Nothobranchius furzeri: one gene and its partners. The protein of the gene in region 3 interacts with the protein of the main gene of each other region in a pairwise test. Links are inferred from orthologs where the notes say so. Each region holds a gene or a part of one and is shown on either strand. Other genes may lie near its edges.

Region 1 (6,013 bases), on a different chromosome or scaffold from region 3:
CCCGGAGGGACTAGTGGCGCCAATGTTCAACAGTGGGGATGGACAATATATCTGCATCAATATCGGTATTGGCCAATGCTAGTCATGTTTTAACATATCGGTATCGGTTAGATAAATAAAACCAGACTGATATTAACAACCGATATTTTTTCCATCTCGTCACCATTTGTTTGCCTGTTTCAGAGGGTGGGGATTTGTTTAGTCATGTGAACAGTGAATGAAATCATCTCAGAACTGTAAATGTGTGTGTTGTGTGTTCATAATAACATAAATTCAGCTTTATTAATTTTCATTCTGTACAAAATCTGATGATTTTAGAAGCATTAATGTTGTATATCGGTATTGGCAAATATCGGTTATTGGCCATGACAGTGATCTTAATATCAGTATCGGCCCAAAATTTTCATATCAGTGCATCACTATTCAGCAGCCTTGCCTTTGTCAGTGTCAGCTGTGGCTACATTATAGCTCATCCCCACCAGTGTGTGAATGTGTGTGTGAATGGGTGAATGACAGATTGTGTTGTAAAGCACCTTGGGGGGTTCCAGGACTCTAGAAAGTGCTATAGAGTATCAAATACAGGCCATTTACCATTTTACACAAACAAAATAAAACTTTAGAACAACAATAACGAGGAAACAAGGAAAAGAAGGTACAAAGCACAAACTACTGAGTCTAAATTTTACTAAAATAAATCATCAATGTCCTTTCTGAAAAGTTACTATACAAACATTTTTTTATGATTCTTTGACAAAAGAAAGAAGCGCAAGACAATTAAAATAGATAGTTCTAGTAAACTGAAAATGGTTCAGTCTAAATATTGAAAACTCTTTTCAGTTTTTATTAAAATAAGATTTAGCTCTGTGACCTGCCCTGAGACTGGGAGATTGAGGGTTCAAATCCACAGTCGGGTCATACCAAAGACTTTAAAAATGGGACCCAATTCCTCCCTCAGCATTGAGATTTTGGATTGGGGGGTTAAACCACCAAATAGTTCCCGAACGCAGCCACCGCTGCAGCTCACTGCTCCCCACGGGGATGGGTCAAATGCAGAGAAATAATGTCACCAGTGTGTGACAACTAATGGGACTTTAACTTTAACTAAATGTGCCAAATCAAACTAACATTTTTTTTAAACAATAAGTGTTTGGTTTATCACAAACATTAATCCAGAATATTGTACATAACTGACCTTACACGTATATAAAATTTCATTTAAAAGCATCTAATTCCAGTTCCATCCAAGATGCCATAGAAGAAACCACTTCTTACCGGTTTCTTTAATTTCTTCCTGAAGTAGTCGTATTTCTGCTTGAACTCTCTGGAGTAGGGAACAGCCTGCACAAACACACAGAGGGGAGGAGGCGTGTGGTCATAATCAGATGACAGCTGCTGATGTTAAAGTGATGATTATGAATCAGATTAAAACTTCACGGCTACATGTGGGGATTCATGTATCTGAGAGGGAACTACTCACAGGTCCTGTGATAGCTGGACTCTGTAAGCGGGGGTCCTCCCACTGCGTGGTCTTGGTATCTGCGCGAGATAAATTCATTTCAGCGGCCTAATTCTTCTACTTTCATTTGAACAGGAACACAAAAAGCTGTTTTACATTTCAAACAATGTCTTGTTGCTTTGCCTTTAGGAGTTAAATTAAAGGTTAGGATTTTTAAACAAGCTAAAATGTCAATGCTATCAATAGAAAAGGTTCAGAGGTCTAAAGTAAACAAACCAGCAAGAGAGGAAGTGTTGCACTCACAGATGTGCCATAAAACCAACATATGAGACTATAATTAAAGCTGAATCTAAACCACGGGGTTCACTAGAAGGAGTTAGCATTTAGCAATGGGAAAATTCTGGTTCAGCAGGACAAATATGACTTTTTGTTCTTTAGCTTTGTGGTAACAAGGACCAACAGCTCCCAGAACAACTGATGGTTGTGATTGGCCGATCACCAGCTAACCCTCAAACCTGCTATACCAGTCCTACTGTCCTCTAGTGGATCATCCACAAGCGCCAGAGGTCAATTTCTTTTCTTTGTTAGTTACATAATTACAGATTGTTATATCAACGTTAGCCCATTTAAAACTACATTTGATTATAATCATTGTTATTTTATATTTCAAGCATTAAAGCGGTGATCTGGACATGCTGAATATTGGTCAACACCAATCACCAGACGAGTGTTTCGGTGCATCACTAATATTTTGTTTAATTGGGGGGAAAGGCGCTCTAGTTCAGGACTTCTGATTTAATAAGATTTAAGATAAAATATCAGACATTTAAATCTGTTTCTGTGTCAAAAGCCATACATGTGTATCTTACCTATTGTAAAAACTTTATGAACAGCCTCAGTTTGAAGAAACAGTGTTCAACAGGACTGACAGTCTGGTAGAGCGCAGTCAAGCCCAAACTGTAGCGCTCCTGCTCTAAAACAGCTCCTACCTCCAAAATGTCCTAATGGTTCATATGAATATTATTTTCACACCGTCAACAGTTTCGAATTGCAAGGTTGTTTTGGCTGAATTAAAGGTACACTAAGTAACTGTGTCATACTTTTTGAACAAGGTCTTTTAAATTTTTATAACAGCTTAAAGAACACACAACAAAACAAAACCAGCCATTCCTAGGAATGTTCGATATTGGCATTTTTATCAATAACCGGCATATCAATATTGCCCAACTCTTATTATATCTTATGATATCGATATATGCGGGGTCCCCCTGACAAATAAAGAAAAAATAAATTATTTAGGGTGCTAACATTACATTTCTCCCATCAAGCATGCTTACATTTTAAACATTATTTGAGGAAAAATAACTACTTTATTTTAAGTAAGTCAATAGGAAAAAAAAAGTGTCACATTAATTTGTCTCTAACAGCAGCTGAATCCCGTTCTCCCTGTGATAATCCTGGCAAACGCTCTGTGATGCCCTTTGTAAGTTACTACGTTTTGGACAAAGATGATTATCAAGTTCATGATGAGAAAAGTTAGATAAATAAGTTAGGGATGTACATAGTTAACTGGGTAATTGCCATTTATGGTTTAACCGGGTAAAACAGTTTTGCCCGGATGACTGCTACAAGTCCCTTCTGCTGTGCTTGGGTTAACCGGCTATTAACCGTTAACGGGCGCCAATAACTGCTTAAAGAAATTTTGAAAAACGTGTATCCCTAAAATAAGTTCATAAATAGTACAAATAAATTTGTTCTAAACAAGTTAAAGTTTCAAGTTTAGAGAACGGATCAACGTGAGACATCTCTATAAACCATCTTTGTTATATTGTCTAAAACGCGAGTGAGCACTGTCAACTCTCTTTACGTTGTTGACATTTAGTCAGAAAAGAAAGTAAACGACTCATGAACACGTTGAATGTGATTTATAAGATCGTTTATTCGTCTTTGTAACTACTGATGAGATTAGGGAATGTTCGGATGTGTGTTAGTTAATTAGTTCATGAAATATTTCCAGCAAACATGTGCTAAATTAGGCTAATTGCTAAGTGTGGTGCTAAGATGTGTGTTTTAGTAATGCATTTTTCTTATTTGTATATTGTAGCTATAGTGAAAAATCATTTATTAAGACCATTAGTTTAAAAAAACTTGTTTGCTAGCCTTCTAGCTACTTGTAGCTATGTACGGTTAGGACAGCACGTGAAATGACAATTGAACAGTCTCTCAGTCCCCTCCACTCCTTGAAGGCAGAATTTCACATTTGCAACTCGAGTCTCTCCTGATTGGTCACCTGAAGTCTCGCAAAGCCACTTATCTCGTGAGAAGCAGTACTGCTTTACGGCAATCCAAGTTTACACCCCAGAACCATAGCTGTCTCCCATTTGGGCTGGGAAACTCCTGTTTTTAACCAATTTCACCCTGTCTTCCCATTTTAGCATTTTCCCGAAATATTTTTTATAAATAATCATCTCGCCCCAGAAACGGACACTAGGGGATGTTAAATGAAGCCAACACCGCCTGCCCAGTGTCGCTTTAATAAAGAGTTTCTGTCAGACTGTTTGCACTGAAAGTACCACACCCACTGGTTGAAGCTGGGAGCGGTGTCAAATATCAAAACAATGTTTGAATGAACCACAAGAGCATTTTGGAGCTCGGTTTTATGGTGACAGACTTTAATCTAATCTGCATTTAAACTTAGTTTATGAGTTTTCCAAAAGGGGAGCATTATCCCTTTAAGGGGCTGAGACGAAGCAAAAACTAAAAGCAGAAAAATGCAGAAGTGTGGAAAAGGTAGACGGTTATCTTACTGTGGTCGATGTAAAAGGTGCGCCCGTCTGTGTGAACTCTTTCTTCCCATCCAGGCTGAAAAACAAACAAAAAGCAAAACCTAATGAGGGAAAACCTCTTGCTGCATCTTCTTTACATGTTGTGCTCAAATAGTAACTTAAATCCAGCCGTTTCCGTTTCCTTTCTGAATGGTGTTTAATTGAACTTGGTCGACCATTCCACAGTCAGAACAAAGACATCCCAGCACAAAGAGGTGAGGCAAGCTCAATCGAACACAGAAAAAGGAAATAAAAGGATTCCCTGCTCTATTTGAGTCGGGTCTAACACATCAGCAAGGCAGGGGTATGACCACAACATAAAAGTCAGTCACCACTGGTACAACCCAGTGTGACACCACCAACACCAGGGTGACCACTCGGTACACTGTAACAGGCCACGCACATTCGTATGCTCGTAGGCAATCAAACAATAACAATAAATCATGAGCAAAAGGGTGGAGAGAAGAATAAAACCTGCCCATTTTAAGTTGTGCGAAGTTTTGCTACAGCAACATTGGTACGCTGCTGCTGCGAGTGTGTGGACTAAAAATAAGCTAAGATATGCAGGACACAGGTTCCTTCCTCCAACACGTTTGGCTCATTTCCCTCTTCCATCTTTTTAGGTGCATTTCTCCCTCCAACAAATGCCCAGAGGATTTCACGTTGTTCCACTGTGCCAAATTGTCTGGCTGTGCCTCAGATGCTACACAGTTACACGAACATGGAGAAATATGAGGAATCCCAAGAGAACGGTTCAGAGCTCTGAAATATTCATCATAAACAGGAGATGTACTAGTGGTGCAGGGGTGGCGCTCGCAGAAACAAAAAGAGGGGGGGGGGGACACAGAAAGTAGGGAAGAGATACAATCCATTCATGCCGGTCATGACAGGGAAAGAGAAGAAAAGGAGAAAGAAAGTAAAAAAAATAAAACATTTTAAATATGCAAGGCTGTCTGCAGGCACTTGACCAGACTGGATCAGACAGGCAGGAGGGCAGGCATAGGGAGGGAAGGAGGTACCAACCAACCTCCTCTAGTAGGTGCTGCCAAACAGACATGGCCAGGTGTAGAAGTGGCGTACATTAGATCCATCAGAATGAAGAAAAATGAGAAAGAAGGAAAAACATCACACACACATGCACACACAACACACAAGCTGTGAGATGTACAAACTCAGGAAATGGTTATTGTTAAAGATCTAGCTGCAGGGATATTCGGCCTACTTGTAAAGATTCTACTAGAAGGATGCTGCTTACCTAATCAGCGCAGACACTAACCCCAACGCTCACAGATGTTACGCTAATTAAAACAAGGCCAGACCTGTCGGCAGCACAGCGTTTTACACTCAACACCGGGGCTAAATGATTTTAGGAAGAGACTTAAATCTAGATTTATGATTTTCTTCAAACCAACTTTCACAATGTACAGAAACCTTTGGCTGAAAGTTACATTTTAGCTGTCACTAACTAAGGCTGGGCGAAAATCGAAACTTTTTTGTTATCTACATTTCTGACTGGTACCATTTTTTACATGTCAGTAAAGTTGATAATAAAAAACATGAAAAGATGTGTGTAGGTTGGTGACGTTCATGTCCCTTTAAAAAGCTGTACCACATCGAGTGACATGACAACGTAACTCAGCATAAGTGACAGCCCCATCTAGTGGACAACTGTTGTTTCTGCGCATACATGATGTTTTCCTCCATTAATCGTTATCGAGGCAAATTCCTCAAT
Region 2 (5,058 bases), on a different chromosome or scaffold from region 3:
CACACACACACACACACACACACACACAGCGGCCGTCCGTGCGTTTGCACAATTTTAGGACTTTCTCAATTATAAACAGATCTCAAGTTTGTTTTCTTCCTTCCTCTGTGTGTCTGCAGGAGATGGGAACTGTTTGCTCCACGCAGCATCCCAGTACATGCTCGGTGTCCAGGATACGGACCTGGTGCTTCGCAAGACTCTCCACGGTGTTCTGAAAGAGACAGACACTGCTCTATTTAAAGCTCGATTCCAGGCAGAGCTGCTGCAGTCTCAAGAATTCACCCAGACTGGACTCAGATACACAACCATGGTATAAAAACCTGGCTACGTCCGTGTTTATGGTCACTGATGTTTAGGCAAGGATGCATTCGCTTGAGGAAGCATGTAACTCGTAAATAAATGTCAATGTTTTTCTCTATAGCACATTTTAAAACAGAGTATTGGCTCACACTTCCATTTACGTTGTTTTTCTTTAATCTTTCTTAATCTGTGTGTATGTGTGTGTGTGTGTGTGTGTGTGTGTGTGTGTGTGTGCGTGTGCGTGTGCGTGCTGTCCTAGAACTGGGAGGAGGAATGGGATAAGATTGTAAAGATGGCATCTCCAGTCTCCAGTAGCAACGGCCTCCAGTTTGACTCCCTAGAGGACATTCACATCTTCATCCTGTCCAACATTCTCCGCAGACCCATCATCGTCATTGCAGGTAATCACTTTCAAAGTTCTTTTATTTCCTCTTGCTAGACTTGTAATGATTTCTGCTCTACGAAGGCGTAGAAGTCTCTTTGTTGATGTAAAGGGCTGTTTAGTTGTAAACTTTAGTGTTTTGTTTTGTTGTTCAACAGACCAGGTGGTTAGGAGCATGAAATCTGGCTCCTCCATCTCTCCTCTGAATGTGGGTGGGATTTACCTGCCTCTTCAGTGGAAGTCCACAGACTGCTACAAATATCCACTAGTGCTCGGCTACGACTCTCAGCACTTTGCACCCCTTATCACCATCAAAGACAGCGGTCCAGGTAGGGCACCGAAAGGGAAACCAGCATGGGATAAAGATCTAGTATGTTTGTATTCTTTTATTTATTTTATTTTATTTTTTGTCTAACATCTCGGTTTGAACTGATCGTCCAGAGATTCGAGCAGTTCCACTAATCAACCCGAAACGAGTGGGCTTCGAGGAGCTGAAGGTTCACTTCCTGATGGAGAAGGAGCAGCCGCAGAAAGAGAGGCTTCTCAACGACTACCTGCACATCATAGAGATCCCTGTTATAGGCCTGGGCCATGACACTACGTGGATCATGAAAGCTGCTCGGTATGCAGAGATTATAAACTTGATTGTTGAGAAAGTTTCTTACTTGTTGGCCAGTAATGTGTCTGAGGATCAAAGGGCTAACAGAACATTGTGACTGTCCAAAGGCTGGACGAGGGAAACCTTCCAGAGGACATGAACCTGATGGAGGACTACCTGCAGCTCGTCAACCACGAGTATCAGCGCTGGCAGGAGGACAAGGAGCAGGCGTGGGCCGCCCAGCCGCAGCGCCCACCACCCTTCTCCGTCTCCCAACTGTCCCTCATAGAGATCCGGTGTGCCACGCCACGATGCACCTTCTACGTCTCTGTGGACACTCAGCCTCATTGCCATGAGTGCTTCGAGAAACGACAAGCCACCACCGGAGGACGAGCGAGGATAGAAGGGGTGGTGCAGACGAAGGGAGCAGGTGTACAGGGAGGAGTAGGGGCAATGGGGGGGTCAGAGGCTGAGGTGAGCTCCAGAGGAGCTCGAAACAGCAGTCCCCCATGCTCCTCCTCTGGACGAGGGGTGGTGTTATCCAGCCCCCGCTCTGCCCCGCCCACCGCTCCCAGCCTCAGCCTTTATAGTGAAACTCACGCCATGAAGTGCAAAACACCCGGCTGCCTCTTCACCCTAAGTGTGGAGCACGACGGACTTTGTGAGCGCTGCTTCAACGCCAGACAGAACCACGGACCCCCTGGAGCTGGAACAGCTGCTACAGGACTCCCAGGCACCAACGGAGCACCAGTCGTTCCCCACCCACCCCAAGGCTCCGGCTGGACCCAGTGGGGAGGCCGCGAGACAGAGACGGAGCGGTGCAGCATGTGCAGACAGGAAGCATTCAGGATATTCAATGGTCTGTGCCCACCCTGCATGCAGAGGCAGCAGGCTCCAGAAAGGGGTGAGCCACAGCAGAGCAACCCCAGGACTGAGGCTTCTGCCTGGAGCCAAACCAGAGACGCTGAGCAGCCGTGCCTCACCCTGACCCCGGGACCCACGTCGGCCTGGCAGACCCCTCTGGCCCGGCCTTGTAAAAGATCTGGCTGCCAGTTCTTTGGGACACCAGAGAAATTGGGTTTCTGCACTATTTGCTATGTAGACTATCAGACCAATCATCGTAAGTCCTGAAACAAAATGAACATGTAGACATTTAAAAATAAATACCTTATCAAACTATAAATGTTGATGAATTATCTGGCTTGTTGCTTATGCTTGTGGCTGTTTATTCCAGACTTGACTCCTCCTCCTGCTCCGGTCCAGAACAGACTTGGTTTGGAGGCAGGTTTCCAGAACGCTACACGCTGTCGAGGGTCTGGATGCGGTGCAGTTGGCAAAGCAATGCTGGAGGGCTACTGTGATAAGTGCTACGTCAAAGAGCAGAGTACACGTCTTAACCAAGTGGCACACAGGACGCCACACTCCCCTCCGCTGGTAGGTTCTTGCTCAAACAGCTGATGTCTTTTTTCCTGTTCAGTAGTTTTCTCACAGTACCCCATATCTAATTCTCAGTTGCTGACTAGTCCTTTTTTTCCCCATTTTCTCTCCCTCTTTCTCTATAAAAAGCGCGACCGGGCAGCTAAACCCAGATCTTCACAGCAATCCCAGACCCAGACTCAGTGTCGACGGAGTGGCTGCAGTAACGTGTCCCCGGGTTGCACTGACCTCTGCCCGGAGTGCCACACGCGTGGCCAGGGCCGAGAGGCCGGCAGACGGGCGCAGGCGCCCAAAGAAAAGTCAAAGCAGAGGTGTCGGACACAGGGCTGTGACCACTATGCCAACCAAGAGAAACAGGGCTACTGCAACGAGTGCCACCACTTCAAACAGATTTACCGTGGCTGATCACCCGCGACGCGGAGCGTTAACGACAACTCATTGGTAGCACGCTAGAGCCGCCGCCCTGCAGCGGGCTCCCCATGCCAGTCAATGCACCTCTGATACTAACTAACCAACTAATTAGCTAGTGACTAACTAGTAACCTTATGGCCTGAAAAATCAACCTCCCCCATGTCGAATGTGAAGCGAGAGTGTGTGTGTACATGGGGGGGCTGGTGAGTGTGTGTGTGTGTGTGTGTTTGCATTAGACATGGCCTCCAGAATACCTCTTTGTGCAATTATTATCATCCGATCCGCCGTGTGCTCTTACACGGTTAGAGGTTTGGCGACATGTCAGAGCAACTGACCTAACTCTTGTGTACAGTACGTATTTAGAGGTACGTCAGGAATCGTGCCGGACAAAATGATTGTATATTGGCGTAACAAGAAGCATACGACATTGCTTTATAGACCACAGCCAAGGATTTTTACCCCGTCCGTCTGTATGTCCTAACCCATCTGTGTATCAGTCTGCCTGTCTGTCTAGCATTCGCTCGATCGAGCGAGGGATGCAGTGAGTGTGGCAAGCCCGGGCAGAAAATCTGTGGAAGTAGTCGGCAAAAGTGAGGCGAACTGAGCCAAAGCAAAGCAAGTCAAATGTTTGAAGTTAGATTTGAAACCATATTGTTTAGCTCAGCTGTTCAAAAAGTCTTTTTTTTTTTTTCAATATTTTTTGGTCCTCTAGATATTGAGACTCTCAAACTGTAATTCTTCCCTTCCCTTGGTTCTTAGTGGTTTTTGTGTGTTTTTCTTAAGCTGATTATTTCTCTTTAAGTTAAATGAAATAGCTACATGTGGGAATTCAAAGCAAAACATGTGACCAAACAGAGACCGACAGGGCGGGACCCTGCTAGTTTTGGTGCTACATGTACAGAAACTCGAGCCTCTCCTTTGTAGCCAACATGCTGGCGTCAGAAGGCAGAGAACACAGTGAGGACAGGACTCTTGCCATCACTCCTCCTCTTCCTTTAATTTCCCCTCTTCTCCAAAAACAGATATGTTGCCTTGGACATTATTTTCATGTTTACTTGCAACTTAAGCACCTAGAAACACTTACAAGACAAACAAATGTAGTGTAGCCGGTCCTGTCAGAAGGGAATTAACAAAAGAAAGACCTTATTAGGGAATGGAAGGTGTGTCAGTTTGGATAATTATTCACCTTCTCACCACACACTCGTTTGCTCCTGCAAACACAGCTCTGTGAGATTATATACCCCCACCCGAGCCCGAGGTGACGTGTAGGTAAACAAACCCATAAAGAGTTGCTGTCCTCTACTAAATCCCACTCGAATGTGCCAGGGTGACAGTTTCCAAACTTCAGAGAGCAATCTTGTTGCCTGCTTCGGCAAGTCTTGTTTTATCTGAATGTGCTTTGTGCTGCTTCTGCAGTACTGGGGCTCATCCTGCATACGTTTTGCCTTTAAGTAGTTACAAGCCTTTATGGACCATAGGGGCCTGATCGATGACTCAGATCAGTTCTCCACACCTTTAAAACTCTTGTGAACATGGAACTTAGTTTTTACCGTAGTACCTTTGAACCCGATGCCTCATCTTTTAACTAACACACACAAGGCCCTCGCTGATGTACTTCGGGAACAAAACAAAAGAAACTGACATGTCTAATTTCCTTTGTTGATTCTTCCTTTTGTTTTGTTTTTTGGATGTTTGTTTTTGCCAAAAAAAAAGAAAAAAAAAGTGCCGTCAATTGCCAAACAGTTGTTGTTACCTCCTTAAGACGGCCAGCCTGGGTTATTCTAGTCTAAAGTGTCACAGATGGACATCTTTGTTTTTGTGCAACCCAGATTGAAGACGTCGCAGATGCTCTTTTCTGCAAATTTCTGTTTAATCTAATATTCATTTTCACGTAAAACCTCAAGTGCAAACTATTAATAGAACTCAAATG
Region 3 (6,561 bases):
GTAGTTGTTCCAAGACTTAGTCAGGTGGACAAACTGACCACTCCACATAGCTGGGAAAAATGTTGATATACAATGCAAACAGTGACTTTTACATTACAATCAAAAGAGGGCATTTCAAACGCACTTTGAGAAAACTACCAGCTCTTGAGGGGCAGCAGATTGGGGAGTTTGTGTAAGCGTTGAGGAAGGTTGAGCCGAGCTCCCTGAGGTAGTTAATGTATGGAAGATGTACAAGTCTACTGCCAGGATCAACGGACAATCGGCCATCCTTCACACACACACACACACACACACACACACACACACACACACACACACACACACACACACACACACACTGTTAACCATCTCAATTTTAGATCCTGCCACTCTGATTCAGTCACTGGAGGATACGTCAAGAAATAAAGATGTGATTCTACTTGCCAATGCGTCACTCATCACCAAAACGATATTTGGTCTGGAAATATTTTGGCTGTCACAAAAAATTTGGAGGACGAAAATAAACACCAACATAAAGATGCTCATGTTTTCCTCGGAACTCCAACAGATATCTAAAAGTAAAGAAAAAAATTCCCAAACTGAGGCTTTTCACGGGTTTTACCCTAACGTGTTGTCTTTTTTCTTTTTTAAATAATTTATTTTTACTACCGCGCTGTCGGTGGGAGGTATTGTATTTACTTCCTGGTCATGATTTCAAAATAAAAGTATACTATAAAAAAAGGGGGGGTGGGGGGGTTGTTTCGTGTCCATGGGGACAAAGAATGAAACTGATATTTAGAAGGAACTGAAATAAAATAAAACTCAAACAAAATCCATCGTTCATTAACCAATTCATGCATAAAAGTATAGTACCACGAATTAATAAATTATAAACATTGCTAGAAGAGTGTCCCATCTTTTTAATTCAGCGGCAAAGTGGACACTAGAGGGCAGCATGCAACTAGGCATTAAACGTTTGTTTTTTTATTTATTTTTTTAATATTTTGCTGAGCTGGCACTGCAGTCATCCCACCTGTATCTATTGACATCCTAACGTTTAAGGTGCATGTCAATGTGTCCTTTGTATAGATAAAGTAAACAGCTTTCCAGATGTGTTTTATGTAATATGGGAAAAAAACATTAATGAATGCACTAAATGGCATTACATATGGTGTGTCAGGGAATCTATGAAGTTTATTGGATTTAATTGGAGGTAAATGGCATTTGTTAATACTAAATTATAAAATAAAAAATCCCCGTCAGGACAATAATGCCTGATTACCTTTCGGGCAGCATCCCCATACTGGCTGATTAAAAGTAAAGAACATTGGTATTGTTGCAGATCAACAGGTGATTCTGCTGCAGCCCATAGTGGGAACATTGGTTGCCACTAGGTGGCGTTTTGAGTCACGAGTTGTTTTTCTGAAAACTGGGAGCTCAACACAATGAGAAAGAGTCTTCTCAACATACACGGATCAGAATCAGTTAAATAACAATCAAAATGGGTCAGGTATATGAGTTACAACCACAGATGATCTGTTTTTAGTTTTATAATTAATATGCATGTTCTATACATCTACTCTGAACAGCCCTATGCCGTGTGCATCATGCAAAATGCAGCTCTTTGGATTTTACAATGACATTGCTCTGATTATGTAAAAGCGTTGTGTAAAGTGTTCACAATAAGCCTGCAGGCTGTGGCTCCAAAATAAAAACAAAATTCACACGTTTTGTGTGATTTTAAAAAATACTTACTCAAATATTGAGGTGGACTATGTACAGACTGGACTAAATCTTATTATTATATTGATAATTGATATTTTTAATGTTACAATTCGCCCCAAAAGCCTCACCCAGGACTATTGCAAATATTTCTTTATGCGGTGTTTCAGGTGCTTTTACCATACTTGCAGGGCGGCTGGATGAATGTGAGCTTTGCCTCACACTGCTCTGCCTGCCTTGTTCCAGAAGGCGAGAAGGTGGGGGCTGTGCAGCCACGCGCAGGCGCAGAAGGTTGTTTTTCACACAGCTTCTGGTTTAAAGTGAGCTGAGCTCCGGGGGTTTCCTTGTCTGTGACTGAGACCATCAAGGAGACAGGCAGATGATAACAGCATCCATTGCTGGTTATCAGCCTTCACAAAGCTCAATGAACTGCTCACAAAGAAGCCACTGATCGTGCCCGCTGCTTCTTGCAGGGCAGAGATACTGATCAGTGTCTCCAACCCCGTTTTTCTTATGAGATTATTTTTTCATTAACTCCTTTTTTTAGAGCTCGAGAAGATCTCTTTCCGCCATGGTGCTAGGAAAGGTAAAGAGCTTCATAGTGAGCTACGACTGTTTTAATGACAGCAACGTCCCCGTCTTCTCCAGCGGGGACTCCGTCTCAGGGAGGGTGATCGTCGAAGTCACCGGAGAAATCCGGGTGAAATCTCTCAAAATCCACGCAAAAGGAATAGCAAAAGTTCGTTGGACTGAGTCAAGAAACGCTGGATCCAACACTGCCTACACCCAGAACTACACAGAAGAAGTGGAATACCTGAACTACAAAGATATTTTAATTGGACATGAAAGAGGTAAGAAGTTTTGTAGAAATTGTGATGCTCCCCTGGTTGGGGATCAGGTTCGCTGAAAGATATAGAGTTGCAGGGCTCAATAACAGGATAATTGGTTCGATTAAAGACTAAATAAAGACCTGTCACTTTATTGCCTTATTTCAGACGAGATGTTCGGTGGGTATTTAGTTGTCTTTTAAAATCTCCATCGTTGCTTGTTTTTGTGGTCAGAATGAATGACAGCTGCTCACGTATCTTGTGTTTTTCATGGCATTTGAGGCGCATAGGGAGGATTTATCTCATTTAAATACATATTGGAATTGAGTTGATTCTGTATTTTATAGCTATGAAGCTTTGTTTAGAAATTTCATCGCTAAACAACGATGAAGTTTCCACCTATTGTTCAAAGCGGTTCAATCCTGTTCCGAAAACTGGTTTGCGAGGGGGCGGGGGGAAAGCCAGAGCGCACCCTGGCTCGTGTGTGATTGGTTAAGATGCTAGTGTGTGGCCAATGACATCATTCCCCTGCAGAGTGGCAGAAAAAACTGCAACTTTTTAATCAATGTAAAACACCTGCAGGACACGAAAATTGGTGGTTTTACTGTAAATTTTAAGGAATTGTGAGTTGCAACCAGGATGTGCTGGACATTTGAGATTTCTTTGCTCTTAATTTTTAATTAAAATCAAGAGTTTTTTTTTTCTTATACCAGTGAATGCAGTAAAGCTTTTATTTGCATGTATTCGGTTAGGTCTGTTAGCATGGATTATGTTAAGCTAACATGTCCGAGACGTGGTGATATTGTCGCTGAACGATTTAATATTTATTAGCGTTGGGAACACGTGTTTAAATAAGTGGGTAGCAGCTCCTTTAGTCTTACGGGACCACAGAGCTTGTCAGACGCATTTATGTATGTGGTTGTTGTGACTGCGGCGTCGCGGAGTGAATACGTAATGCCGAGGGAAGCTGCTCACACCGGTTTAGTCCGGTCTTCTCCTGCTGGAGTCTGTCTCTTGACTGACAGCTCCGCACTTGTTTACCACACGGCTTCTGCTAGGGGGAGGGTGTGCTGAGCTGGCAAGGGCTGCGCACACGTCCTTATCCGCCACATATTTACCTTTTCATGTAAAATGAGCAATATTAAATAAAAAATTCATAATTCCCCCCCCAAAATAAGTGAGAAGGCATCGCTTCGCTTTGCCCCATAAAATTACTTGTGCATTAGCATCACTCACGTTCAGTTTCTGATTTCTCCAAATTTTACTCTGCTGTTTTTTAAAATCTCAATACACTTAATTTCTAACAGACAAGATCAATTGTAAAACCCGTTTATTCTCTTTTTGTCTCCCCCACCCTGTGTTCTTTGATATGACTTACAGATGCCTTCGTAGAGCATTTTGTCCAGGTATGGTATACATGTGTTTGGAATATTGTCCTCCTTGTTTTTCAGACGATGACAACTCGGAGGAAGGACTCACTACAATCCATGCAGGAAGGCATGAGTATGCATTCAGCCTCGAGCTTCCACAGACGTAGGTGTCCCAATACGAAACTAGAATCAGAGAAAAAGTTATTTAGATTTGAGAACTTGACCGTTTTTCTCCTTTCTGCCCTTCTTTTACCGTCACCTGCAGACCTCTGGCTACCTCTTTTGAAGGAAAACATGGCAGTGTGCGCTACTGGGTGAAGGCAGAGCTCCACAGGCCATGGCTCCTGCCCATGAAGACTAAGAAGGAATTTACAGTCTTTGAGCACATTGACATCAACACTCCGTTATTGCTGGTAAGAAGTCATAGGAATGATGAAATGCATAGCTTTTATGTTTGTAAACTAAGAAAAAATGTTTATAAGATGTTTTTTCTCTACTTTTTCAGTCGCCTCAGGCCGGCACAGCAGACAAGACGCTTTGCTGTTGGTTCTGCACCTCAGGTCCAATTTCCCTAAGTGCCAAAATTGAAAGGAAGGGATACACCCCAGGTGAGGATAAGTGAATAAACGATAAGGTTGTTACTCATCTGTTTACCAGATGAGCCAATGGGATGATCACATTCTGCAGGATTCTCTACTTGTTACTGATTACTCATAATTAGGGTTCCTATCACTAGAGAAAAATATTAACTTCCATTATGTCTTATATTTGTGTAGGCGAGTCTATCCAGATATTTGCCGAGATCGAGAACTGCTCGTCCCGCGTGGTGGTGCCAAAGGCGGCCATCTACCAGACACAGACCTTCTATGCCAAAGGAAAGGTGAAGGAGGTCAAGCAACTGGTGGCCAACCTGCGGGGGGAGTCCTTGTCCTCTGGCAAAACGGAGACCTGGAATGGCAAAATGCTGAAGATCCCACCTGTGTCCCCCTCAATCCTGGACTGCAGCATCATCAGAGTGGAGTACTCCCTCATGGTGAGTTTGGTCTTTCTCTCACACACTCGATGAACATTTAGGTCAGGTGCCCGTTTTTGTTGTTTGTATTTGTTTTGAGACGACGGGCATACAAGGGTTTCTGCTTTCATCAGAATCAATATTTCCTTGTAAGCCAATATCCCGGTAAAGGTGCCTGGCTGACTCGGCTTGCATAACCAAATCTGGACCTGGGATTGTACCAGGTGTTATGTCCGCATGCTGCTAAGCGCATTAGCCCAGAATAATGGAGGCAACACCTGCCCTGAGGGTACTAATAACCTCTTTACCCTTCACATAGACAGATAACTGATTTGAACACACTGACCCACATGACCAGTTTACCTAAATATTGGTTTGCAGATTGGAATGCACAGCTCTGTAAACTCCCATTTTCAAGATCTAAATTGCTGTCATGTCCTCGTGTTTGTGCTCAGGTATATGTCGACATACCAGGGGCAATAAACTTGTCCCTGAACCTGCCCCTGGTTATCGGAACCATCCCTCTTCACCCATTTGGCTCCCGCACATCAAGCGTCAGCAGCCAGTGCAGCGTGAGCTGGCTGGGCATGGGTCTGCCAGAGAGACCTGAAGGTAGTTAAAGCAAATGTTTTTTTTCCCCAATTTACACAAATTTGATCGTAATTTTCAAGAAATGCTAAAATGTGATTTCTTCTCCTGCAGCTCCTCCGAGCTACGCGGAGATAGTGACAGAAGAGCAGAGGCAGTGCAGGCTGGATGGTCCTGCAGTCCGAGAGGAGCTGGAGGGTCCGCTATGTGCCTACATTCATGAGTTTCGTTTCCAACCTCCTCCTCTGTACTCTGAGGTCAGCATCCAAATAGTTAAAACATATAATTAGCCTTTCTTCAATAAAAAATCACCTCTTTCACTAAATAACCATATTTTTGTGGTTTTCCTCCGTAGATTGACCCAAACCCGGATCATGCTCGCCGTACCGAGGAGCACAGGCTCGATGCATGTCCTTCGCGCTGAACGTATTCCTAAAATTGCCCTTTCTGACTTGGGGCACTTCAAGGAACCCGCTTGCAAGACTGAGCTTTGAACATTTTCTCAGATAACGGTGCTTTCATAGTGCTGTTGACATCTTGAGGAAAAAGGCATCACTTCCAACTCAAGAACTAGCCTGTAGTTGGCCAAATGCGTTCTGCCCCCCCATCAGTAAGAGAAACAGAAGTCTCTAGTTTGGGGTATAACTACCTTCCTGTGTCAGCCTTCTGAGGAGCTTTCAGTCTGTAAGGACCCCACACAACACACACACACACCTGTTGGACCAAGGCTCGACCTGCCAAGCTCCTCTTCAGCCTTGATTCTTCTGTTCTTGTGGCACATTAAGGACATGACTCCTAACAAGAAAAAGAAGGCCAGATTACTCGGTTCCTGGCATCAGTAGATTCACCTTCAAAAGAAAAAAATGGGGTGGAGAAAAAGTTCTAACCGCCGTAGTCCGTGTGAATGAAGGCGTTCAGCTGCAGTGAACAGAGCTAAGGCTAGGTCCTGTCTCGTGGGATTTTGTTTTGCACATTTTATTGTTTTTACTTGAGTTGTGTGGCTCTGTTTTAATTTTTTAAATCACTAATTGTTTGGTTTTGGCTTAGCAAAGCACCAGACCGA

The links.
Region 1: the proteins of arrdc3a (region 3) and nedd4l interact in binary tests that used the Homo sapiens proteins (3 or more experiments, as listed by UniProt). The link is inferred for Nothobranchius furzeri from reciprocal best matches to the Homo sapiens genes ARRDC3 and NEDD4L.
Region 2: the proteins of arrdc3a (region 3) and tnfaip3 interact in binary tests that used the Homo sapiens proteins (3 or more experiments, as listed by UniProt). The two-hybrid records come from large-scale screens. The link is inferred for Nothobranchius furzeri from reciprocal best matches to the Homo sapiens genes ARRDC3 and TNFAIP3.

Annotation. Positions count from the first base shown.
Region 1 is NC_091746.1:58,526,373-58,532,385, reverse strand, and holds part of nedd4l (E3 ubiquitin-protein ligase NEDD4-like), read right to left. Parts: intron 4,319-6,013; coding exon 4,264-4,318; intron 1,537-4,263; coding exon 1,478-1,536; intron 1,339-1,477; coding exon 1,273-1,338; intron 1-1,272. UniProt on the Homo sapiens protein: E3 ubiquitin-protein ligase that mediates the polyubiquitination of lysine and cysteine residues on target proteins and is thereby implicated in the regulation of various signaling pathways including autophagy, innate immunity or DNA repair.
Region 2 is NC_091752.1:25,123,871-25,128,928, reverse strand, and holds the end of tnfaip3 (tumor necrosis factor alpha-induced protein 3), read left to right. Parts: intron 1-119; coding exon 120-310; intron 311-559; coding exon 560-701; intron 702-840; coding exon 841-1,011; intron 1,012-1,123; coding exon 1,124-1,304; intron 1,305-1,408; coding exon 1,409-2,400; intron 2,401-2,514; coding exon 2,515-2,714; intron 2,715-2,846; coding exon 2,847-3,122; 3' UTR 3,123-3,261; downstream 3,262-5,058. UniProt on the Homo sapiens protein: Ubiquitin-editing enzyme that contains both ubiquitin ligase and deubiquitinase activities.
Region 3 is NC_091757.1:41,569,560-41,576,120, reverse strand, and holds the start of arrdc3a (arrestin domain-containing protein 3a), read left to right. Parts: upstream 1-2,061; 5' UTR 2,062-2,272; coding exon 2,273-2,552; intron 2,553-3,908; exon of another isoform or gene 3,909-3,936; coding exon of another isoform or gene 3,937-3,979; coding exon 3,980-4,061; intron 4,062-4,163; coding exon 4,164-4,311; intron 4,312-4,403; coding exon 4,404-4,506; intron 4,507-4,674; coding exon 4,675-4,931; intron 4,932-5,365; coding exon 5,366-5,522; intron 5,523-5,612; coding exon 5,613-5,755; intron 5,756-5,853; coding exon 5,854-5,922; 3' UTR 5,923-6,561. Other genes in the region: arsk (arylsulfatase K), read right to left, coding at 1-50, 139-268, 424-525. UniProt on the Homo sapiens protein: Adapter protein that plays a role in regulating cell-surface expression of adrenergic receptors and probably also other G protein-coupled receptors.